2 linked regions of the Anolis sagrei genome follow. The protein of the gene in region 1 binds, or shares a complex with, the protein of each later gene. Links are inferred from orthologs where the notes say so. Each region holds a gene or a part of one and is shown on either strand. Other genes may lie near its edges. The genes, in order: SYNRG and AFTPH.

Region 1 (12,838 bases):
AAAAACATAAGCCATTCCCCGAAAATATGCCCTAATGCATCTTTTGGAGCAAAAATTAATATAATTTCCAACCCTATTTTCAGGGAAACACAATAATTCATGCTATGACTCTTCTAATGTTCGATGCCTTTTTATTCTTTCATTTTTCTGTGCTTGGAAGAAGCGTATCATAATATTAAATGCAAAAGGAGTTCAACAAAAACGTAACATACCTTTGGTTTCACGCTGCTTAATAGCCGTAGCTTTTGCTTCTGCTCTTCAAACTGCCGCCGTTTCCTTTCCTCCTCCAAAAACTTTTGCTGGTGTTCAAATCGTTTCCTACAACAAGTAGTCAAGTTTTAAATACTGATTTTAAATATTCTATAAAATATTTTTTGAACAACCACCGGAGTGTCTCAGACGCCTCACTTACTGCTGCTCCTCCACAAACTGCTTCCGCATATCCGGGGTGTACTGAGGGGCTGTGGGGCGCATTCCTAGGAAGGGAGCCTGCCCCATGAACTGCATTCCAGCTGCTGGCAGGTGACCCAAAGGCATGCCGCCCTGCAAACACAAGGAGGGCTTTAGCAAGAAGCCAGTCTCCCTCAAGAGCACAAGAAACAATTTTCTCTTTGGTTGTTGTGTGTTTTCCGGGGTGTGTGGCCAAGTCGCTCTTGACATGACAAAAAAAAAAAGGAAAACAAGTGAATGATGAAGCGACAGCTCCCCCGGTGGCCGAAATTCAAAAAGCATACCCTCATGAAGCTGGAAAGTTAAATAGCCTCTGTCTCTGTATATATATGTTGTGTGTCTATGGCACTGAATGTTTACCATGTATATGTGCATTATGATCCGCCCCGAGTCCCCTGCGGGGTGAGAAGGGTGGAATATGAATACTGTAAACAAACAAATAATCTAGCAATTGGCCAGCTTGAGTAGCCTTTAATGGCCTAGCAGTTTTCAAGGTGTGGCTTCTTACTGCCCGGGGGAATCCTTTGTTGGGAGGTGATTCATTGGCCCTGATTGTTTCTTGTCTGGAATTCTCAGCTTTTGAGTGCTGTTCTTTATTTACAGTTATGATTTTTGAGGGGTATTTTTAATACTAATAGCCATTAGGGCTGGGCGGTTTCGTTCGTTAATTTCGTAATTCGTTATTAATTCGTATTTAAATTAGCTTCCGATCCGATATTGAGCCATGCAGGAATAGTGTGAGGAGTAATTAAAAATCGAAACAATTTTTCCAATTTATTTCGTATTGTTTCGTAATTGGTTCAAAATTGTTTCGAAATTGTTTCGTAATTATTTCCGTATGTCTGGTGCAAGTTTTATAGTTGTTGTTTGTTTTATCAGTGATAAAAAATAAATTATCACACCAACAGTCAACAACAGAGGGAGAGGGAAGCTCCAGAAGTTCCCCTTGTCCCATTTGGAGGTTTTTTTAGCATATTGCGCAATCGCGTCCGCCATTAACGAATCGATTCGTAATTATACAAAATTTCGTAAATTTCGAAATCTCAAAATTTCGGAAGTATTTAGAATTTGGAAACACTAGCGCCCCCTGGAAACAAATCGAGTTTAGAAACAAATTTTTCCGTGGTTACCCAGCCCTAATAGCCATGTGTGGTAAGAAGGGCAGAGTATAAATTTAGTATAATCATCATCATCATCATCATCATCATTATGTCATGTTTATTATTAGATGTGTAATGCGGCATTGTATGCCAGGGTCCATAAGCCGCCCAGAGTGTCCCATTGGGGTGAGAAGAGCGGGGTATAAAATTATTATTATTATTATTATTATTATTAGTCAGCAGTGCCTTTCATGTTCCTTGATTCATGTTTGGGGAATGCTGAGTTTGGGAGCCCCTATGCAGACTTGCCCACTTCTGCATGGTATATGGTAGACTCCATACAGTAGACTTTCTAGTTTCCAACAGACCTCACAACCTTGGAGAATGCCTGTCACAGATGCAGGCAAAACGTCAGGAGAGAATGCTTCTGGGACATGGCCAGACAGCCTGGAAAACACACAACAACTCAGGGATTCTGGCCATGAACGCCTTCGACAATACAACTTTCTCGTGACTCCCAACCTGCATGGCCATCGTTCCGGGAGGCATCTGGGCTGCGTAATTCATCCCCATCATGCCTTGCATGTTGGGCGACATGACAGAAACCACAGGGAAGCCTTGCTGTTGCATGGGGATCATCCCTGCAGCAAGAAAACAAAACAAGGTTAGGAGTCTCGCCAAGCAGAGTAGGTATGTTGAGGGGAATGGAGGTTCAACTGTGCCTGCCTTGTTCTACGTACCTTGAGGACCAAGACCAGGAAACATGAAGCTGGAAAAGAAGAGGAGGGGAAAAAGCCATGAGTTTACAATTTGAGAAACAGAGCTAATATCCAATGCTAAGGCTGTGGAATGACTATCGAAGAGAATTGCTGCCAATGTAAGTCGTCCTGAGTCCCCCTTCGGGGGTAGAGAAGAGATGGGCTATAAATACCAGAAATAATAAATAATAATAATAAGATTCAACAGCTAAATCAGCTGTCGGAATTTAAGATGTAACCGAATATCCATGTCTTCTGGCAGGCCAAACCTGTCAATTTTAACTAGCTGCATTTAACCTGCATTTTAACTGTGTGTATATTGTATTTTAATAGTGTTTAATCTCTGTTTTAATGATGAGGGTTAGCTTTAGCACAGTAGGTTAATCACCAGCTACAGTAAATCTTGCCAACTGGAAGATTGACAGTTCGAAGCTGTGTCAGGGTGAGCTCCTGACGTTCAGCCCAGCTCCCCGCCAACCTAGCAGATCAAAAACAGCAATGTGTACTCTTGAATTAATCATAAAGTATGCCAGAGTGAGATTAACATGCCTTCATTCAAGCCTTTAAATCTACATGTCCATTAAAATCACCCTGCTGAAATTATGTTCGCGTTGACGCTCACTCAACATGGAAGCTTACCTTCCTCACCTATTTGAAAGAGGCAAGCACACAACTGGTTGTGAAGCGCAACCAGGCCAGGCAACTCCGGTTACCATTTCGTGCAGTGAGAGAAGAAAGGCCCAGCCATTAAACATGCAAAGCTTTCTAGAAAAGCCGTGACTTATTTATAAGCATCAATAAAGGAAGAGGGGAGGAAAACCATTCTTATTAATTATAGCCAAAGTTAAAGAAAAGGCCTTCTCCCTTCCCTTCAAGGTCTTCTCCCTTCAAGGCCTTAGAATAATAGAATCCTAGAGTTGGAAGAGACCTCATGGGCCATCCAGTCCAACCCCATTCTGCCAAGAAGCAGGAAAATTGCATTCAAAGCATCCCTGACAGATGGCCACCCAGCCTCTGTTTAAAATCCTCCAAAGAAGGAGCCTCCACCACACTCCGGGGCAGAGAGTTCCACTGCTGAACGGCTCTCACAATCAGGAAGTTCTTCCTCATGTTCAGATGGAATCTACTTTCTTGTAGTTTGAAGCCATTGTATCCTAATCCCCAGGGCAGCAGAAAATAAGCTTGCTCCCTCCTCCCTATGACTTCCTCTCACTTATTTATACATGGCTATCACGTCTCCTCTCAGTTTTCTCTTCTGCAGGCTAAATATGCCCAGCTCTTTAAGCCGCTCCTCATAAGGCTTGTTCTCCAGACCCTTGGTCCTTTTAGTCGCTTTCCTCTGGACACATTCCAGCTTGTCAACATCTCCTTTCAATTGTGGTGCCCAGAATTGGACACAGTATTCCCGTGCGGTCTAACCAAGGCAGAATAGATCATGGGGAGCATGACATCCCTGGATCAAGGCACTAGACTCCTATTGATGCAGACCAAAATCCCATTGGCTTTTTTGCCACTGCATCATGTTCTTGGCTCCTGTTCCCCTTCCTCCTCACAAGGACTCCAAGATCTTTTCCACAGGTCCTGCTGTCGAGCCAGGCCTCGTCCTCCATTCTGTATCTCTGCATTTCCTTTCTTTCCTGCCTAAGTGGAGTATCTTACATTTGTCCCTGTTGAACTTAATTGTGTTAGTTTTGGCCATTCATCTCTCTAATCTGTTAAGATAGTTTTGAATCCTGCTCCTGTCTTCTGGATTATTGGCTATCTCTCCCAATTTGGTGTCATCTGCAAACTCGATGATCCTGCCTTCTAACCCTTCATCTAAGTCAGTGGTTCTCAACCTGTGGGTCCCTAGGTGTTTTGACCTACAATTCCCAGAAATCCCAGCCATCTGGAGACCCACAGTTTGAGAACCATGGATCTCAGTCATGAATGAAGATCCTGAGCAGGACTGGGCCCAGGAAGGAACCCTGCTTGTGGCACTCTGCTTGTCACTTCTTTCCAGGATGAAGAAGAAGCAGTGGGAAGAAGAACCCTCTGGGTTATCCAAGGCCTTCTCCCTTCGAGGCCTTCTCATTTTTGTTTTCTTATTTCATTTTTGTGTATTATACAATATAACAGTATAGTGCAATATAGTAATATATAATACTGATATTGTTCTATACTAATAATATAATATATTGTGTGAAAATATATTTTGTAAGCCGCTCTAAGTCCCCTTTGGGGTGAGAAGGGCGGCATATAAATGCGGTAAATAAATAAATAAATGTTGATTTTGTATTAAGTTGTTTTGTTTATATTTCATTTGATGTTATTAATTGCTGTATGTATTTTGTTTTGATTTGTTGTAATTCTTTGGGATTGGCCTCATGTTAGCCCGTTGGGGAGATGGTGGCGGAGTATAAATAAAGTTTTATTATTAGGAGCCCCCGGTGGTGCAGTGGGTTAAAGCACTGTGCTGGCAGGACTGAAGACTGACAGGTCGCAGGTTCGAATCCGGGGAGAAGCGGATGAGCTCCCTCTGTTAGCTCCAGCTCCTCATGTGGGGACATGAGAGAAGCCTCCCACAAGGATGATAAAGTATCACAAATCATCCAGGCGTCCCCTGGGCAACGTCCTTGCAGACGTCCAATTCTCTCACAACAGGAACGGTTGCTCCTGACATGACAATATATATATATATATATGATTATGATTATTATTTGAAACACAACAAGATGAGTCCACAGCAGACACTCTGCTGGCTGTTGTATTGGATCACACGTCGGACTGTGTGATGTATTGGCAAGTAATGCGTGCAGATCCCAGTAAGGTAGCCTTCTGCAGCTGGCAGATTTATTTATTATTTATTTCACAGTTTTCTATACCGAGCTTCTCAACCTCATTGAGGGACTCAGCCCGGTTTCCAGCCATAAAAAACATATACACTCATTAAAATATCATATATCACAATTACAAAAACAACTTTAAAAACACTATATATAAAACTACAGTGGTCAGTCGTCCTATTAAGATGGATCTACATCAGCTTCCATCCAGGGTCCTATGGTGTTGTCTCATTCCTCAAAGGCCTGACTCCACAGCCACGTCTTCACCCGTTTCCTAAATGTTAGGATGGATGGGGCGGTTTTGGCCTCCAGAGGGAGAGAGTTCCAGAGTCGCGGGGCCACCACCGAGAAGGCCCTGTCCCTCGTCCCCACCAGGTGCGCTTGCGAGGCTGGTGGGACCGAGAGCAGGGCCTCTCCAGATGATCTTAATAATCTTGATGGTTCGTAGGGGAGAATACGTTCGGAGAGATGATAATTTTGTCAGTGCCGATTGTGTTTAAGTGCAGGCCAAGGTCTTTAGGCACTGCACTCAGTGTGACAGTCACCACTGGGACCACCTTGACTGGTTTGTGCCAGAATCTTTGCAGTTCGATATTATTATTATTATTCTCCCTTCCCATCGAGGCCTCCTCCCTTTGAGACCCTCTCCCTCCAAAGCCTCTCCCCTTCAAGGCCTTCTCCAAGACTTTCTCCTTCCGAGGCCTTTTCTCTCCAAGACCTTCTTCTTTCGAGGCCTTCTCCCTTCCCTTCAAAGCCTCTCCCTCCAAGGCTTTCTCCCTTCAAGACCTTCTCCCTCCAAGGCTTTCTCCTGTTGAGGCCTTCTCCCTTCCCTTCAAGGCCTTCTCCATCTAATGCCTTCTCCCTTCAAGGCCTCCTCCCTTCAAAGCCTCTCCCTTCCCGCCTCCCTCCTGCCCGCCTGGGCCTGCTGACCTGCCCGGGCCGGGGCTCCTTCCTCCTCCTCCCGGTCCGCCCGGCGCCGGAGGAGAGGCGGCGGAGGGAGCGCCGGGCCCAGCCCCCAGGCCCGGCCGCAGCGCCATCTTGCCCGGCTCCTGTCAGCGCGCTCACTTCCGGCCTCCTCGCCTCCTGAGCGGAAGCGGGGAAAAGGGGCGGGGCGAAAGCAGCCTGGCCTCTCAGGCGCCTTGGACTTCAGCTCCCGGCAGGCCTCGCCATTCGCCGGCGCGCCAAAGGATTCTGGGAGTTGGAGTTTGAACAACCAGGAAGAGCCCCACAGAGAGCCTGGAGAGCAGGCGTGTTGGACTTCAGTTCCCACAATGCCTGACAGCCGCTCAGGTTAATTTCACTCATCTCTACATTTCTGTATGTTTAGGTCTTATATTTTGGAAAAATGGTAGATTTGCATGAAGCTCAAAGGAGTGGATAGAGGACAAATCGGATAGGATACGATATGTACATATGCACATATGTATATGCACGTATACACACACCTGCATATATGCGTTTTCATATATATTTACGTATGTGTATATGTCTACATATAAATACCTACATATATGTGTGTACGTGTACACATGCATATATGTATGCACCTACATAAATTTGAGTATATGTGTATATGTACACATGCATATATGTATACATGTACATATTCATACATGTATACACCTGCATATATATGTATATAGACACCTACATATATGTGTATATGTGTGTATATGTACACGTGCATATATGTATACACCTACACATATATATATATATATATTTACACCTACCTATATCTCTGTATATATACACATGCATACATGTATAGACCTACATGTATGTGTATATATACCTACATATATGTATATATGTACACATGCATATATGTATACACCTACATATATATGTATATAGACACCTACATATATGTGTATATGTACACATGCATATATGTATACAACTACATATATATGTATATAGACACCTACATATATGTGCGTTTATATGTGTATATGTACACATGCATATATGTATACACCTACATATATATATATTTACACCTACCTATATCTGTGTATATGTACACATGCATACATGTATAGACCTACATCTATGTGTATATATACCTACATATATGTGTATATATGTGTGTATATGTACACATGCATATATGTATAGTAAAGGTGAAGGTTTCCCCTGACATGAAGTCCAATGGTGTCCAACTCTGGGACTCTGGTGCTCATCTCCATTTCTAAGCCAAAGAGCCGGCGTTGTCCATAGACGCCTCAAAGGTCATGTGGCTGGCATGACTGCATGGAGCACCCTTACCTTCCAGGCCAGAGAGGTACCTATTGATCTACTCACATTTGCATGTTTTCAAACTGCTAGGTTGGCAGAAGCTGGGGCTAACAGCGGGAGATCATGCCGCTCCCAGGATTCGAACCTGCGACCTTTTGGTCAACAAGCTCAGCAGCTCAGCGCTTTAACCTACTGCGCCACTGGAGGTTCCTACATACATGTATACACCTACATTTATATGCATATATCCCTTCTGTTCTGAACTCAAGAACGGAAAGCGGAATGTTGGAGGACAGGAAAAGAGATTGAAAGATGGGCTCAAAGCCAACCTTCAAAACTCTGGCATAGACACTGAGAACTGGGAAGCCCTGGCCCTTGAGCACTCCAGTTGGAGGTCAGCTGTGACCAGCAGTGCTGCAGAATTTGAAGAGGCACGAATTGAGGGCAAAAGAAAGAAACGTGCCAAGAGGAAGGCGCGTCAAGCCAACCCCGACCGGGACCGCTTTCCACCTGGAAACCGATGCCCTCACAGTGGGAGAACATGCAGATCAAGAATAGGGCTCCACAGTCACCTACGGACCCACTGCCAGGATACTACACTTGGAGGACCGTCATCCTCGGTCTACGAGGGATACCTACATATATGTGTATATATGTGTGTGTACACATGCATATATGTATATACCTACCTCTATATGCATATATACACCTACATATATGTGTGTATATGTGTATATGTACACATGCATACATGTATACACCTACATATATATGTATATATAAATGTGCATATGCATATTTGTATACACAGAGGGAATTGCATCCTCCTTGATATTCTGCCTCTTCATTAAAGCCAATAGGACTCCCCAGCTGCAATGGGCAATCATTTTCTGCCATCACCTGGCCACCAAGGGAATTGCACCTCCTTGATATTCTGCCCCTTCAACAACCTTCATGAACCTTTTACATCTACAGAATTGGACATGGCTCTCAACAAATGTAAGAATGGCAAAGCAGCTGGCCTGGATGATCTACGGATGGAACAAATCAAGAACTTTGGTCCAAAAGCAAGGCGCTGGCTGCTGGAGCTGATGAACAACTGCACTGCATCCTGTCAGATCCCCAAAATCTGGAGGAAAGCAAGAGTCATCGCCATCTTGAAGCCAGGCAAAGACCGTAATGACCCAAAAAGCTACAGACCAATCTCCCTGTTGTGCCACCTCTACAAAGTTCTGGAGAGACTTATTTTGCATAGAATTGCGGAAAAAATAGACCCCTGTCTGATTCCACAGCAAGATGGCTTCAGAAAAGGCAAAAGCTGCACATCGCAAGTGCTGAACCTGACTCAGCACATAGAAGATGGCTTTGAAAGGCAGCAGATCACAGGAGCTGTCTTCATAGACCTGTCAGCAGCCTATGATACTGTGAACCATTGCCTCCTCTTGAGAAAAATGTATAATATCACAAAGGACGACCACCTCACCCGCCTCATAGGAAACCTGCTACAAAACAGGAGCTTTTTTGTTGAGTCCCAGGGCCAGAGAAGCAGATGGCGGAAAGAGAAGAACGGCCTGCCTCAGAGGAGCATGCTTGCTCCATCCATGTTCAACATCTACACAAATGACCAGCCACTGCCAGAAGGGACAGAGAGTTTCATCTATGCTGATGATCGTGCCATTACTGCTCAAGCAGGGAGCTTTGAGATGGTAGAACAGAAGCTCTCCGAAGCTCTAGGTGCTCTTACTGCCTATTACAGGGAAAACCAACTGATCCCTAATCCATCTAAAACACAGACATGCGCCTTTCACCTTAAGAACAGACAAGCATCCCGAGCTCTGAGGATTACCTGAGAAGGAATCCCACTGGAGCATTGCAACACACCCAAATACCTGGGAGTCACTTTGGACCGTGCTCTGACCTACAAGAAGCACTGCCTGAACATCAAGCAAAAAGTGGGCGCTAGAAACAACATCATACGAAAGCTGACTGGCACAACCTGGGGATCACAACCAGACACAGTGAAGACATCTGCCCTTGCGCTATGCTACTCTGCTGCTGAGTACGCATGCCCAGTGTGGAACACATCTCACCACACTAAAACAGTAGATGTGGCTCTTAATGAGACATGCCGCATTATCACGGGGTGTCTGCGCCCCACACCACAGGAGAAATTACACTGCTTAGCCGGTATTGCACCACCTGACATCCGCCGGGAAGTAGCAGCCAATAGTGAAAGGACCAAGGCAGAGACATCTCCAGCTCATCCCCGTTTGGGTATCATCCAGCACGTCAACGACTCAAATCAAGACATAGTTTTCTTAGATCTACAGAGACACTCGCTGGAACACCCCAGCAAGCAAGAGTCCAAAAGTGGCAGGCCCAAACCCAGTACCTCAATCCATGGGTGATACCAGATGATAGACTTCCCCCCTGGGCACACAGAAGACTGGGCGACTTGGAAGGCCCTGAACAGACTGCGCTCTGGCACCACGAGATGCAGAGCCAATCTTCAGAAATGGGGCCACAAAGTGGAATCCACAACATGCGAGTGCGGAGAAGAACAAACCACTGACCACCTGCTGCAATGCACCCTGAGCCCAGCCACATGCACGATGGAGGACACAGAGGCACTCCAAGTGGCCAGATACTGGTCAAAGGACATTTAACCAACTACCAAATTTGCAAAATCTTTTTCTTTTCAATCTGTGTGTTTGTTTTGCTCTGTTAGAATTGTAATACAATGGTATGGTTGCTGATGAAACGATAAATAAATATTAAAGCCAATAGGACTCCCCAGCTGCAATGGGCAATCATTTGCTGCCATCCTGTGGCCAGAGCGGGAATTGCAGCGCTTCATTCTTTCATTTTTTTGGGAAGGGAGGAAAGAAAAAAGAGGGAATAGTTCCCCTGTATCCAGAGATTACTGTGCACCCAACCAACCAAACTTGGCCTACAGACTCAGAATGACCAATTTTTAATTTGTAATTTAGTTTGGAGGGAATTGGCCTTCGAGTTTAGGAGTTATAGTTCACCCATATCAAGAGAGCACATTGAACCCAACTGACTAAGGATCTGGACCATTTTCCTTCCCTTGGAGTACTTATCACAGGGGTTACGTTCCAAGACCCCCCGCGAAAAGTGAAAATCTGTGAAGTAGGGACACAGGAGCCTGGAATTTATTTATTTATTTATTTATTTATTTCAGGAATTTGTACCCCGACACGACTCAGGGCGGCTTCCAGCCAGCAACAATTCGATGCCTCCAATGCACACATAATAAAATACATAATAAAATCCAATAAAACATTTAAAACATTAAATCACATTAATTAATTAAAACCTGTTTCTGTTTCAATAACAGCCTGGTGGCCTTATCTGTAGTTAGAGACTCCATCATGCATGTCCATAGTCCATTTCCATAGCAATTGTCATAATTGTCACTGTGATTGTCAGCAAGATTACCTGAAGGCCTGGTCTCACATCCATGTTTTTAACTTCTTTCTAAAGGAGAGGAAGGATGAAGATGACCTAATTTCACCAGGGAGTGAATTCCACAGGTGGGGAGCCACCACCGAGAAGGCCCTGTCCCTCTTCCCTGCCAAGCACACTTGCGACAGAGATGAGGCCAAGAGTAGGGCCTCGCCAGAAGATCTTAAACTCTGAGGTGGGATGTAGGAGGAGATACATTCGGACAGATACGCTGGACCAGAACCGTATAGGGTTTTATAGGTCAAGACCAGCACTTTGAATTGTGCTCAGAACTGGACCAGCAGCCAGTGGAGCTGACATAACAGGAGGGCGATGTGCTCCCGGTATGATGCTCCAGTGAGTAATCTAGCTGTCGTCCGTTGGACTAGTTGGAGTTTCTGAACAGTCTTCAAAGGCAACCCCTGTAGAGGGCATTGCAGTAATCTATTCGGGATGTAACAAGAGCGTGGACCACTGTGGCCACATCAGACTTTGAGGCCAGCCCTCTCTCGCTCGCTCACCCGCCCTCCTTGCTCGCTCGCTACTCACCAGGCCACGTCCCGGTGGCAGAGCCAGGACTTGGCCCAGTGAGTAGCAAAAAAGGAAAACCGCAAAACAGTGAATCTGTGAAAAGCGAACCGTGAAATAGCGAGGGAACACTGTAATAGCCATTGATTTCAGTGGTGGTTGTTCCTGTATTTCTATATTTCAAGATTTTTTGCTTCAGCTCCGTACGAGCCTGATGTCATTGTCCAGAGGGAGCTCACATCTTCTCAACAACCTGAACATCAATGCGATTGATGGAAGGCTGCTTCAAGGCCTTGATCCTGCGGCCCAACCGTTTCACATTGAGTGTGTAGATGATGGGGTTCCCCAATGAATTGATGGCAATCATCGTGGAAGTCAGGTTCCGGAAGATGTAGATGCCCAGCGGGAGGTCTGTGGGGCAGTGCGGCATGGCCAAGTCGAGCACCACGGCCACGAAGAAAGGCATGTATGATAGCAAGGCCGTGATCCAGATCAGGATGCTGGTCCGTGCCACTTGGATCTCGGCGAGGCGGCCAACCGAACGGGCTTGACCCAACGCACCCATGGAGACCTTGTGCTTCCTCAAGAATAGGATGATGCTCAAGTAAGTGAAGAATGGGATAATGAAGGAGACGGTGCTGTGGGGGATAGTGATGAAGGCAAGATAGTTGATGCATAGTGGACTGTAGAGGGTTGAGACGTTGTCCGTGCCCAAGCAGTTCCACCCCATCAAGGGCATGAAGCCGAGGAAGAGGGCCACCAACCAGATCGCCAACACGATGCCTAACACCTGGTTTCGTGTGATACGTCGCCTCGTCCACCTCTTCTCAGCCAGGGCCAAGTACCGCTCGATGCCAATGGCCACCAAGTTGTAGATGGTGGCAAGGATGGGCACGGCGTAGAAGGCATAGAGCCGGAGGATCTTGCGGGAGCCGACCACAGTGCTCTGAGGGTCGCGCATGAAGAAGAGGGCAACCCAGAAGCCCGAGGCACTGGAGAGGAGGTCAGAGAAGGCCAGGTTGCAGAAGAGGAGGAAGATGGGCTTCTGCAGATCCTTGGCGCACACAACGGACAAGATGACAGCGGAGTTGAAGACCACAGAAATGATGGTCATGATGATGTGGGGGATGCCCAAAGAAAGCACCAGCTCCCTGGTCCAGATATGAGCCGTCTGGTTGTGGCAATTCTGGTTTCTGGTCATGATGGAGATGAAGTGCAGAAGACAGAGGGAAGGTAGAGAGCCAGAAGGAGGGTGACAAGGGTCCAATAGAAAGTCAAAGTCAAGAGTCAACTGTGAAGGTCTGAACTTGGGAGTTGGAGCTGAAGGTTGGATCCAGGACTCAGGATTGGGAGTCAAAGTGGAAGGTCTGTACTTGGAGTCCCGGCAGAAGGTCAGGTTCAGGAATCCAAGCTAAAGGCAGAATCAGGAGTCCCGGCTGAAGGTCAGGCCCAGAAATCCAAGCTAAAG
Region 2 (12,342 bases), on another chromosome or scaffold:
AATTAATTTTTTTAAAGAGAGAGAGAAAAAAGAGAGCATGATTTAAACCAAGTGGTTTTAAGGGAGAGTAGATGTTTTTGGGCAACTTCAAGGAACACTGTATTGTCAAAGGCTTTCGTGGCCGGAATCAATGGGTTAATGTAGGTCTTTCGGGCTATATGGCCATGTTCTAGAAGCATTCTCTCCTGATGTTTCGCCTGCATCTATGACAAGGATCCTCAATTATCATTTAGAACTTCTGCTCCCTGCATATCACATTTTTCCAAGTAAGGATTTTTGTAATTTTTGTTAAAAAAAAATTCAAAGGGGACACCAAGAACCAGAAGAAATGGCACCTTAAGAGTATTTTCTCTCCTCAGCAAGAAATGTTTAGAACCCTTTGAAAAGCTACTGAACATAATTTAATTATTCTGTAAAATCAATATCTGAGACAGATTTGTGTTCGTTACTTGAGGTGAAGTACATCGGATATTAACTTAGTTTTTACTGTACTTAGTGTCTTTATAACAACATTATAGTTAAATAATGGTTAAATAATATTCAAAGCAGCCTGTGAGAAGGAAACAGTAATCAAATCATACACATTAATAAAACATTACATATTTTTTACTTATACAGTGTGTCAATATTTCAGGTTTATAATTTTTATGATGACATTGTGATTCTATTTGAGTTTGTTGTATGTGTAAACAAACTTAGAGAAGCTTGAAGAATTTGTTTTGCTTTGGATCAAAGAAGTAGTGATTAAACTTGCAGTCTGGTTCACTTCGTGGGTGGTGTGGAAAAAATACTTTTTGGCCAAAATTCATCACATTTACTAAATTCCACGGAGTCCTCCACTTTAAAAGTGATAACCCACGGTGTTCATCACATTATGTTATGAATAAGTTTCAATAACTTTAAAGTAGAGGTTCTTTTTATTGCAATTTTCCAGTAAGAGAAAGGCTATCAGAACTTTTACAGAACAACATTTAACATACAGACATACAGATTCTGTGTAACTACATTGAATTCACAAACCTACAGTTACATTGGATAACAAACAAACATTTTTACTCAACATTCACATTTCCCATATACATTCACCCATCATTCATCTTTCACATGCACACATCACCATTTCCTTTCTCCTGCTGTCATCTGGAGAAGAACACCTCTTAGGCCAGACTGCTTCCTTGCAAATCTGCCAAAGCATCAAGCTTCTAAAACGCCAAAATGTCAAAATGCATCATTCCCCTGAGAACATGACTCCAAAATGCACTCTTTTCTCATCCCTTGAGAAAAAGAGCAAGTGCACAAAATCCTGCTTTCCCACAGCAGATCTAACACTCCTAAGGTACACTATCTCTCTCAATCCCAATGGAGCAGAGATTAGAGGGTGAACAGCATCTTTATGTCACAATTTTTGGAATATCAGAAGGTCTCTTATATAGCAATATTTCGCTGATGTTCCAAAAACCTGTAAATGAATGATAGACGTCTTCCATCCTGAAACATGTTGTGTGATGTCGCATGCTGGGCCTGCACATAAGACTGTAGACAGGACATAAATTCTGTGTGCCCAACGGGATGCCGGGGCTTCCTCAGATTAAAGGCCTTTGGATTTCTTTAAACAGAGTCTTTAGATTGCTCAAAGGTTCAACAAAGTTCTTTATTATTGAAATCAAACAGGTACTTCAAGGCTTTCTTAATAGTCTATTGGCTCTCTCAATCTTGTCCACAGGGGACAGGCACTATCTTCATAACTATATTTTAACTAATGGGGAAATCCTTAACCTCTTATCTGGGCAGTCTGTCTTTGCCTCTGTTGCCGTGGAGCCCCTACACCAACTGCTTCTGGCTTCCGCGAGTGACCCTTACCAAGCAGAGCTTTGTAGACTTCCAGGGGAAAAGAAGATATTCAGGTTTCAGTGATGGCTGGCTGAAGTGCTGTGGGACCAGATTCCCTCAGCAAAGGGACTGTAAGGCTGTAAAATCCTCAGCAAAAGAGCTGTGCTGAGACTGCATCTCTCTGGTCAAGCTATGGGGCGGTATACCCCAGACCAAGCTGTAAAAGATGAAGCTTTCTACAGGAGCTCCTGGTTTTATGTCCTGTTTGAAAGGCTTCTGTGTGTGGACTGACCCAAAATGGCTCCTATTCCCTCCAAAACCCCAAAAGGGGCGGGACCAGGGAACCAAACAATAATTGACAGGTCATAGATCCAATAAATGCAAACTAAGGAAAGCCATCTAACTGCAAAGGCATAGAACTTTAAAATACATGCAGTAATCAACAAATAGCAAGATAAGCTGGAGCTCCTGGTGCGGTTGTCCCAGAACATGTTGATTGCATCTCAGTTTACTCTTCTGGTAACAAACCATTGTGTCTTGAAAGAGCATTTGCTTTGACTAATGTAAACAGAGGTAATTTCTCTTAGAGTTAATCCAGTTTTAGTCAGCAAATGTTGACAAATGTAAACAGACGTAAACATTTTTCTTATCACTGTCACAGTTCTTATCACAGTTTACCATTTCAGTTCTCATTAGCAGGTTTTAATTGCAATTCATCAAACAGGTTTAATCATTTCAGGCCTTAATCTTCAGAATGGTGTCTCCAAAATTATTAGCGGTCATTCATTCATCTTCCATATAATTCATTCAGACTATAGATCGTATTCCATCGTAACATTCTGTTGGGCTCAAGTGTGGGGTACAGCATTTTTTCTGTGTCTAAAGCATTGGGAACTGCTTTCTTTTCAGGAGCTAGTTGGGAAGTGGATTTTTGGGGAAGAATTTAGATGTAATGGGCAAAATGGTCACTTCTGTAATATGATGATGTGCAGGTACAGCTGTTCCAGGAGCTCCAATTTTGTTTGCTTTGCATTGAATGTTTGTTATAGTCCTAAGTTTCAGGGACTCTGCAAATAGGTGGCTTCTTTTGGCTGCAATCATAGGGCAAGCCATCTGTCAATTATAATTAGGTTCCCTGGTCCCACCCCCTTTTTGGGTTTTTGGAGGGAATAGGAGCCTTTTTGGGTCAGTCCACACAGAGAAGCTTTCCATGCAGGACATAATACCAAGAGCTCCTGTAGAAAGCTTCGTCTTCTACTGCTTGGCCGGGGTTATACAGCCCACAGCTTGGCCGAGGATCATACAGCCCTACAGCTCCTTTGCTGAAGGACTTCAGTCAGCCATCACAGAAGCCTGAATTCTTTTCCCCTGGAAGTCTACAAAGCTCTGCTTGGTAAGGGTCTCTCGCGGAAGCCAGAAGCAGTTGGTACCGGGTGTAGGGGCTCCACGCCAACAGAGGCAAAGAAAGACTGCCCAGATTAGAAGTTAAGGATTTCCCTATTAGTTAGTATACAGTTATGAAGATAGTGCCTGTTCCTTGTGGACAAGATTGAGAGAGCCAATAGACAGTTAAGAAAGCTTTAAAGTACCTGTTTGTTTTCATCAATAAAGAACTTTGTTGAACCTTTAAGCATTCTAGAGACTGTGTTTTAAGGAAATCCAAGGGCCTTTAATCTGAAGCAGCCCTGGCGTCCCGTTGGGCACACGGAATTTATGTCCTGTCTACAGTCTGATGCACAGGCCCAGCGTGCGACAGCACAGATGGCATTCATTCTTCTCAGATGGGATTTGCAGTACCTGGGCTAAACATGGCACAGAGAAGCCCCCTGACCAACTAAATATACTGGAATTGTTTGGGGGTAATTGACCTTGATTTTGGGGTGTTGTAGTAAACCTGTATCCAGAGATACTGTAGCCCCTACCAACAATGGACTGGGACACATTGGTGATATGCTTTTCAGACATATATAATTTCATGACAAATTTGGTTTTACTAACAAACTGGAGGCTAAACAAATCCCTCATAAGAGATACGGTCACATACATAAATTACAATAACGGAATGTATGGGGACACAGTATATGTCATGAAAACCTTTAATTTATGTTTTTTTTAAAAAAAAATTTTCAAGATAATTACATATATTTCCAATATGTTTGTCATCTCTTGTTATGTTCATGCGACACTTGCAGCCAACACACTCAGCTATAGGGCATCATATACAACTTTTCTTAGCATATCTCATGATATTATCACCTGTCCTTGCACGACTATGCAGAGCTGGGAAGAGCTATTGCAATGTCTAGTAACAAATCATATGAATCTTTACTGCGTTTTCCCCTTCGCTTAAGAGTTTTGTTATTCATACAGACAGGTTGTAGTTCTGTGCAGTAATATTTATGAAAGCCTCTGGCTTACAACACAACTCTCTTCTTTCTTACAGGATACATTTAGACTTAGGTTGCCATCTTGTGGCTTTGTAGTATGAGAACAGTCATAATTATTTCAAAGATTTGCAGGTTTACCCAGTAACAACATTTTTTTAATAAGCAGGAACCCCAACTTATATTATCATCTGGTAGTTTATTATCATAATCCTTTGTCTATGAGGCACACAAGCTTGTTTGAATACCAGTAATGCCTAGTTACTGCATGACTCTTTTTCACATGTAAATGTGGGCATAATGCCGTAGAAGTTAGTGGTCACACAATTTGCACCAGGAGTAAAGCTTTCCTGTATTTGTACCAATACCTGACCTATCTATGGGACATTTCACAATCACTCAAAATGTCCTGACTCAAAATGCCTCTACAGCTTTTGCATAAAATGTCCTTCAACATTCTTCATGGAAGACATGTCTGTGACAGACGTGTCTAGTATTTAAACGGTCAATTAAAGCCAAATTCATAGAATCATAGAATTGGAAGTGACCTCGTGGGCCATCCAGTCCAACCCCTGCCAAGAAGCAGGACAAATAAGTTAAAGTTGGCTAAAAACAGCAAGATTGTGAGTGACAACACATTGTGTTCTAAATAATAAATGAATGATAGCCCATCAACCAAATGTACTATCCATTTACAAAAGGCTTGCACAGCCTGTGGCCTTCCAGGTGTTTGGGACTCCAGCTCCCAGAAGCCCTAGCCAACTTGTCCAGTGGTCAGGGATTCTGGGATCTGAAGTTCAAAACACCTGGAGGGCCATAGGCTGTGTAGGCTTGATTTAGAGCAGGGGTCCTCAAACTAAAGCCTTTGGGCTGGATATGGCCCTCCAAGGTCATTTACCCAGCCCTCGGTCAGGATCAACCTAAGTCTGAAACAACTTGAAAGCACACAACAACAACACTATCTCATCAGCCAAAAGCAGGCCCACACTTCCCATTGAAATACTAATAAGTTTATATTTGTTAAAATTGTTCATTTTAATTATTGTATTTTAAGTGTTCTTTGCACTACAGATATGTGCAGTGTGCATAGGAATTCGTTCATTTTTTTCCAAATTATAATCTGGCCCTCCAACAGTTTGAGGGTCTGTGACCTGGCCCTCTGTTTAAAAAGTTTGAGGACCCCTGATTTACAGCATTCTGTAAAACGAGTATAAAGCTTATCAAATCTCTTTATCTCACTAAATATTTGCTTCATAAATTACTTTAGAATAGAATAAGTTTACTGGGTGTGACTGTTTCAAATGACCACCCTGATTAGCATTTGATTGCTTGGCAGTGCCTGGAGTAATCTTTTGTTAAGTGATTAGATGTCCTTGTTTGTGTCCTCCCTGGGTTGTTGTAGGTTTTTTCAGGCTGTATGGCCATGGTTTAGAGGCATTCTCTCCTGACGTTTCACCTGCATTTATGGCAAGCATCCTGAGAGGTAGTGAGGTCTGTTGAAACTAGGCAAAAGGGTTTATATATCTGTGGAATGACCAGGGTGAGACAAAGGACTCTTGTCTTCTGGAGCTAGGTGTGAATGTTTCAACTGACCACCTTGATTAGCATTTGATTGCCTAGCAGTGCCTGGAGTAATCTTTTGTTGAGAGGTGATTAGATGTCCTTGTTTGTTTCCTCTCTGTTGTTGTGCTCTTCTAATTTTATTTATTTATTTATTTAGGGTATTTCTACCCCGCCCTTCTCAACCCCGGGAGGGACGGGACGGGGATGGGGACTCAGGGCGGCATACAGAGGCACAATTCAATGCTGACATCAACATAAACAATAAAATAAAACATGAATAACAGCAATTAAACAATTAAAACATCACATCAATAAATCCATTCTAACGCTCAGCGTTCAGTGTTCGCCATCTCATAGTCCGTAAATTCAATTCCACATCATCAATTCTAGTTGTCGATTGTCCTTGTCTCACTGCTAGATTGCCCGAACGCCTGGTCCCACAACCATGTTTTCAACTTCCTTCTGAAGGAAAAGAGGGATGTTGATGACCTGATTTCCCCAGGGAGTGAATTCCACAGGTGAGGGGCCACCACCGAGAAGGCCCTGGTAGCCAGATTTTGTTCATTTTAGAGTTTTTTAATACTGGTAGCCAGATTTTTGTTCATTTTCATGGTTTCCTCCTTTCTGTTGAAATTGTCCACATGCTTGTGGATTTCAATGGCTTCTCTGTGTAGTCTGACATGGTGGTTGTGAGAGTGGTCCAGCATTTCTGTGATCTCGAATAATATGCTGTGTCCAGGTTGGTTCATCTCTGCTCTGCTATGGCTGACTTCTCTGACTGAAGTAGTCAGCGCTAACTTGAAGGAACCTCAAAATCTAGACGTGAAAGGGCGAGCGTGGTTCCTCTCTCTGCCCACTAGGGGGCGGGGGTGTATGTGTGTGCGGAAACATCCCGGAAGCGGAAGTTGACGCCGTGGCGGCGAGCAGCTGGGCGAGGGCGTGAACCTTCCGCCGACCAAGCCCGCGCGCCGCTGCCGGAAGCGACGTCCGCGCGCCCGCCGAGGATGTGGCGGAGAGGGCAGCCTTGAGCTTGCGTTGCATGCCGGGAAGCGGTGGGCTGAGTCGGGCGCCTGAGCCGGGCGAGACCAAGGAAGGAAGGAAGCGGGGGAGGGCAGAGAAAGAGAGAGAAAGAGAGATGGACTCGCCCTGAGGGCCGTTGCCATGTCCGGCCCCGCTTTAGGAGAAGGCTCGCCCTCCCGCCGCCCTCGGGTTTCGGAGGCACAGCAAGGTAAGGCGGCTTTCCCACAGGAGACCCTTCGAGGCCAGGAAGACGGAAGCCGCGCAGGCCTCCCTCCTTTCACTTTCTCCATGGCAACGGGGACGCCCCCTCCTGCCTCCCGCTCCCCCCAGAGTGAGTCCCCTGGAAGAGGCCTACTCCCCTCAGGAGTGGGAGGACTGGCTCTGCGGCTTCGAAGCAGAAGGTCCGGCTGGGAGTGGGGCCAAAGGGGAAGCCAGGGGTGGGGAGCGGTTGCTCCGCCTTTGCCTTTGGCCCCTTCCACACAGCTCAATACAATCCCACATTATCTGTGATATACAGGTGTGGACTCAGATAACCCAGTTTAAAGCAGATACTGTGGGGTTTTCTGCCTTAATATTCTGGGATATATGGCTGTGGGGAAGGGCCCTATGTCTCTGAAAAGGGGAAGCAAGGGATGATAGGGAAATGTCCAATTTGCCAGAACGATGCACTTTTTGAGCAGGAGTAATAATAATAATAATATCACTTTATTTGTACCCCGCTACCATCTCCCCAAGGGACTCGGTGCAGCTTACATGAGGCCAAGCCCAAATACAACAATACAAGTAATAATAACAACAATACAAGCAATTAAAATAAACATGGACAATACAATAATGCAACATTAACAATAAGACCACACGATTAAAAACTATGGGAAGAAGATGTTGGGTTTCTTTTAGTCTTGGTTTCATGTTGTCTCAGTTCTCCAACCCAAACCGATATTATTATTTACTAGCCGTTCCCTGCCACGCGTTGCTGTGGCCCACATGGGGGTTCTGTGTGGGAGGTTTGGCCCAGTTCTCTCGTTGGTGGGATTCAGAATGCTCTGTGATTGCAAGTGAGCTATAAATCCCAGCAACTACAACTCCCAAATGTCAAGATTCTATTTTCCCCAAACTCCACCAGTGTTCACATTTGGGCATATTGAGTATTCGTGTAGATCTAGGGAAGTAATGCTACCCCTCTACTCCGCTTTGGTTAGACCACACCTGGAATATTGTGTCCAATTCTGGGCACCACAATTCAAGACAGATATTGACAAGCTGGAATGTGTCGAGAGGAGGGCGACTAAAACGATCAAGGGTCTGGAGAACAAGCCCTATGAGGAGCGGCTTAAGGAGCTGGCATGTTTAGCCTGAAGAAGAGAAGGCTGAGAGGAGATATGATAGCCATGTATAAATATGTGAGAGGAAGCCACAGGGAGGAGGGAGCAAGCTTGTTTACTGCTTCCATGGAGATTAGGCTTTTGTGGCTGGAATCACTGGGTTCTTGTAGGTTTTTGGGCTATATGTCCATGTTCCAGAAGCATTCTCTCCTGATGTTTTGCCTGCATCTATGGCAAGCACCCTCAGACCTCACTACCTCTGAGGATGCTTGCCATAGATGCAGGTGAAAGGTCAGGGGAGAATGCTTCTGGAACATGGCCATATAGGCCGAAAAACCTACAAGAACCCAAACAACATATAAATCAACAAAATAGATAAAACAACATCAATATAAGCTTATAATAAATAACCAATAATGAACATAATATATCACCTTACACACATTTACCAACTGCCCATCATTCGTAATCCATTGTCCCCCAAACTATACCAGGACATGAAGTGGGTCACAAAGTTGTCTGTACCCTAAGTTTGGTCCAGGGTTGTCATTTGTAGGGGTTGCAGTGGTCTGTGAAAGTGAGTACTGCAAATCCCATCATCCTCACCCAAACTACACCAGGACGTAAAGTGGGTAATAAACACAAACAAAATTTCAATTCAGTTACAGTCTATCAAAACATATTCAATATTCTGACTAGATCTTAAAAACATTTCTTTCTTTAAAAGCCTGCCTGAAGAAAAAGGTTTTAGCCTGCTGCCGGAAGGACAGCAGGGAGAGGGCTGTTCTGACTTCCCTGGGGAAAGGGGAGTTCCAGAGTTGAGGGGCAGCCACCAAGAAGGAAGGCCCACTCTCTTTCTCACCAACTGAGCTTGAGATGGAGGTGGAACCAAGCGAAGGACCTCTCCTGAAGATCTCAGGGATGGGCAGGTTCATACAAGGGGATGCAGTTGGCCAAATAGCCTCAACCTGAACCATCTAGGGCTGTAAAGGTCATCACCAGCACTTTAAATTGTACCTGGAAACAGACTGGCAGCCAGTAGAACTGCTGCAACAGGCGGGTTGTCCGCCAACTGTAGCCAGCCGCAGTCAGCAAGCTGGCTGCAGCTCTTTGAACGAACTGAAGTTTCTGAGCACTCTTCAGAGGCAGCCCCACATACAGTGTGTTACAGTAATCCAGACGGGATGTCTGGATTACTTCATCTTGGGAATCTCACCTGAAAGTACATGTCTTCCTTGTTTACCTATTTTCTGTCCCTATCCCTTTAGCGAGGAACAGCGATGGAGTTGGAAGAGACTTCCTGGGCCACCTAGTCCAACCCCCTGCCATGCAGTAAAAACCCCAAAATTCCCCTGACAGATGGCTACCCAGCCTCTGTTTAAAAGTTTCCAGGGAAGGAGCTTCCATCACACTCCGAGGTAGAGAATTCCATTGCTGAACACCTTTTACAGTCAGGAAGTTCTTCCTAATGTTCAGGTGGAATCTCTTCCTGGAATTTGAACCCATTGCTCCGAGTCCTAGTTTCCAAGGCAGCAGAATACAAGCCTGCTGCCTCTTCCTTATGTCATCATTTCAAATATTTATACATGGCTATCATGTCTCCTCTCTCCCTTCTCTTCTGTAGGCTAAACATTCCCAACTCTTTAAGATGCTCCTCATAGGGATCAATGGTCTCCAGACCTTTGATCATTTTAGTTGCCCTCCTTTGGACACCTTCCAGCTTGTCAATATCTCCTTTGATCTGTGTGCCCAGAACTGGGCACAGTATTCCAGGTGAGATTTGAACAAAACAGAATAGAGGGGCTCCATGATTTCCTTCAATCTAGACACTTTATTTCTTTTGATGCAGCTCATTGACTTTTTAGCTGCTTCATCACATAATACAGTATATGACACTACTCATGTATAGGTTTTTTTACTCCATAGGTAAGGGTTGCTAGGCTGCATTAAAGGGGATTACTACTCCTATGCCCCATTGCAGACATTTTTTACAGCATTGTTTTTAAAACCGTGAGTCCTGTTAGCTCAATGTTGAGGCCCTGGAAAATTTAGCAATAATAAATATTTTCTTGTTGCACAGTGGCAGTTTTATATGTTTACACTAATCTCTTGTGCAGTGTTTACAGTGGACTATGCAGAATGTGGTTCAACTATATAAGCAGTCCTTGAGTGACAAACACCCAATTTACAAACAACACATAGTAACATTATATACAGTTTGTCTATATCCACAGTTTGTTGTCTTTTTACTGAAGAAGTTTTTATCAGTAGGGGTTTTATAGATAGTTTATAGTTTGTTTTATATAAACTTTGAGTGAAAATGTTTATTGTTCTGTTTTATATGTTTATGTACCTAATGTATTCTCTGTGTTATTGCACTATTGAGTGTTTTTGTGAGCTGCCCTAAGTCCGTTTGGGGAGATGGTGGCAGAATACAAATAAAGTTTATTTATTTATTTTATTTAGTTAAGAACGAGGGTGAGACAACAGGAAGTGAGAGAATTCTATCTCTCTGAAGGGAATTTCACTCCTGAAGGAATTATCATGGAGAAAAAGTGTTTCCACTGAAGCTGTATCACCATTGTTTGCACAACAAGCCAATTTTTCAAAATCCAATTCTCATAGGGATAGAAAATGAGGTGAAATCTTCTCTGACAGGGGCACAGACAGCAAAAGAAAAACTACAGAGCTGTTAACCCTTCCCTATACTATCCAAAGCTGGTACATATGTGTGTGTGTGTGTGTATGTATGCGTAGTAGATAGTCTGTGTTGTTGTTCATTCGTTCAGTCGTCTCCGACTCTTCGTGACCTCATGGACCAGCCCACGCCAGAGCTCCCTATCGGCAGTTACCACCCCCAGCTCCCTCAAGGTCAGTCCAGTCACTTCAAGGATGCCATCCATCCATCTTGCCCTTGGTCGGCCCCTCTTCCTTTTGCCTTCCACTTTCCCCAGCATAATTGTCTTCTCTAGGCTTTCCTGTCTCCTCATGATGTGGCCAAAGTACTTCAACTTTGTCTCTAGTATCTTTCCCTCCAGTGAGCAGTCGGGCTTTATTTCCTGGAGGATGGACTGGTTGGATCTTCTCGCAGTCCAAGGCACTCTCAGAACTTTCCTCCAACACCACAGCTCAAAAGCATCGATCTTCCTTCGCTCAGCCTTCCCTATGGTCCAGCTCTCACATCCGTAGGTTACTACAGGGAATACCATGGCTTTGACTATGCGGATCTTTGTTGCCAGTCTGATGTCTCTACTCTTTACTATTTTATCGAGATTGGACATTGCTCTCCTCCCAAGAAGTAAGCGTCTTCTGATTTCCTGGCCACAGTCTGCATCTGCAGTAATCTTTGCACCTAGAAATACAAAGTCTGTCACGGCCTCCACGGTTTCTCCCTCTATTTTCCAGTTGTCAATCATTCTTGTTGCCATAATCTTGGTTTTTTGACGTTTAGCTGCAACCCGGCTTTTGCGCTTTCTTCTTTCACCTTGATTAGAAGGCTCCTCAGCTCCTCCTCGCTTTCGGCCATCAGAGTGGTGTCATCTGCATATCTGAGGTTGTTAATGTTTCTTCCAGCAATTTTCACCCCAGCTTTGCATTCATCCAGCCCCGCACATCGCATGATGTGTTCTGCATACAAGTTAAAAAGGTTGGGTGAGAGGATGCAGCCTTGCCGGACGCCTTTCCCAATCTTGAACCAGTCTGTTGTTCCGTGGTCAGTTCTTACTGTTGCTACTTGGTCCTTGTACAGATTCCTCAGGAGAGAGACAAGGTGGCTTGGGATGCCCATCCCACCAAGAACTTGCCACAATTTATTATGATCCACACAGTCAAAGGCTTTAGAATAGTCAATGAAGCAGAAGTAGATGTTTTTCTGAAACTCCCTGCCTTTCTCCATTATCCAGCGGATATTGGCAATTTGGTCTCTCGTTCCTCTACCTTTTCTAAACCCAGCTTGAACATCTGGCAACTCTCGCTCCATGTATTGCTGGAGTCTTCCTTGCAGGATCTTGAGCATTACCTTACTGGCATGAGAAATAAGGGCCACTGTACGGAAGTTGGAGCAGTCTTTCGCATTTCCCTTTTTTGGTATGGGGATATAAGTTGATTTTTTCCAGTCTGATGGCCATTCTTGTGTTTTCCATATTTGCTGGCAAATGGCATGCATCACCTTGACAGCATCATCTTTTAAGATTTTAAACAGTTCAGCTGGGATCCCGTCG

The links.
Region 2: SYNRG (region 1) and AFTPH share a complex: the UniProt entries of both Homo sapiens proteins name them as parts of the aftiphilin/p200/gamma-synergin complex. The link is inferred for Anolis sagrei from reciprocal best matches to the Homo sapiens genes SYNRG and AFTPH.

What each region holds. Positions count from the first base shown.
Region 1 is NC_090031.1:24,064,997-24,077,834, forward strand, and holds the start of SYNRG (synergin gamma), read right to left. Parts: upstream 6,215-12,838; 5' UTR 6,171-6,214; coding exon 6,064-6,170; intron 2,320-6,063; coding exon 2,291-2,319; intron 2,192-2,290; coding exon 2,073-2,191; intron 544-2,072; coding exon 413-543; intron 319-412; coding exon 213-318; intron 1-212. Other genes in the region: lysophosphatidic acid receptor 1-A-like, read right to left, coding at 11,606-12,571. UniProt on the Homo sapiens protein: Plays a role in endocytosis and/or membrane trafficking at the trans-Golgi network (TGN). May act by linking the adapter protein complex AP-1 to other proteins. Component of clathrin-coated vesicles.
Region 2 is NC_090021.1:153,480,876-153,493,217, forward strand, and holds the start of AFTPH (aftiphilin), read left to right. Parts: upstream 1-6,707; 5' UTR 6,708-7,005; intron 7,006-12,342. UniProt on the Homo sapiens protein: Component of clathrin-coated vesicles.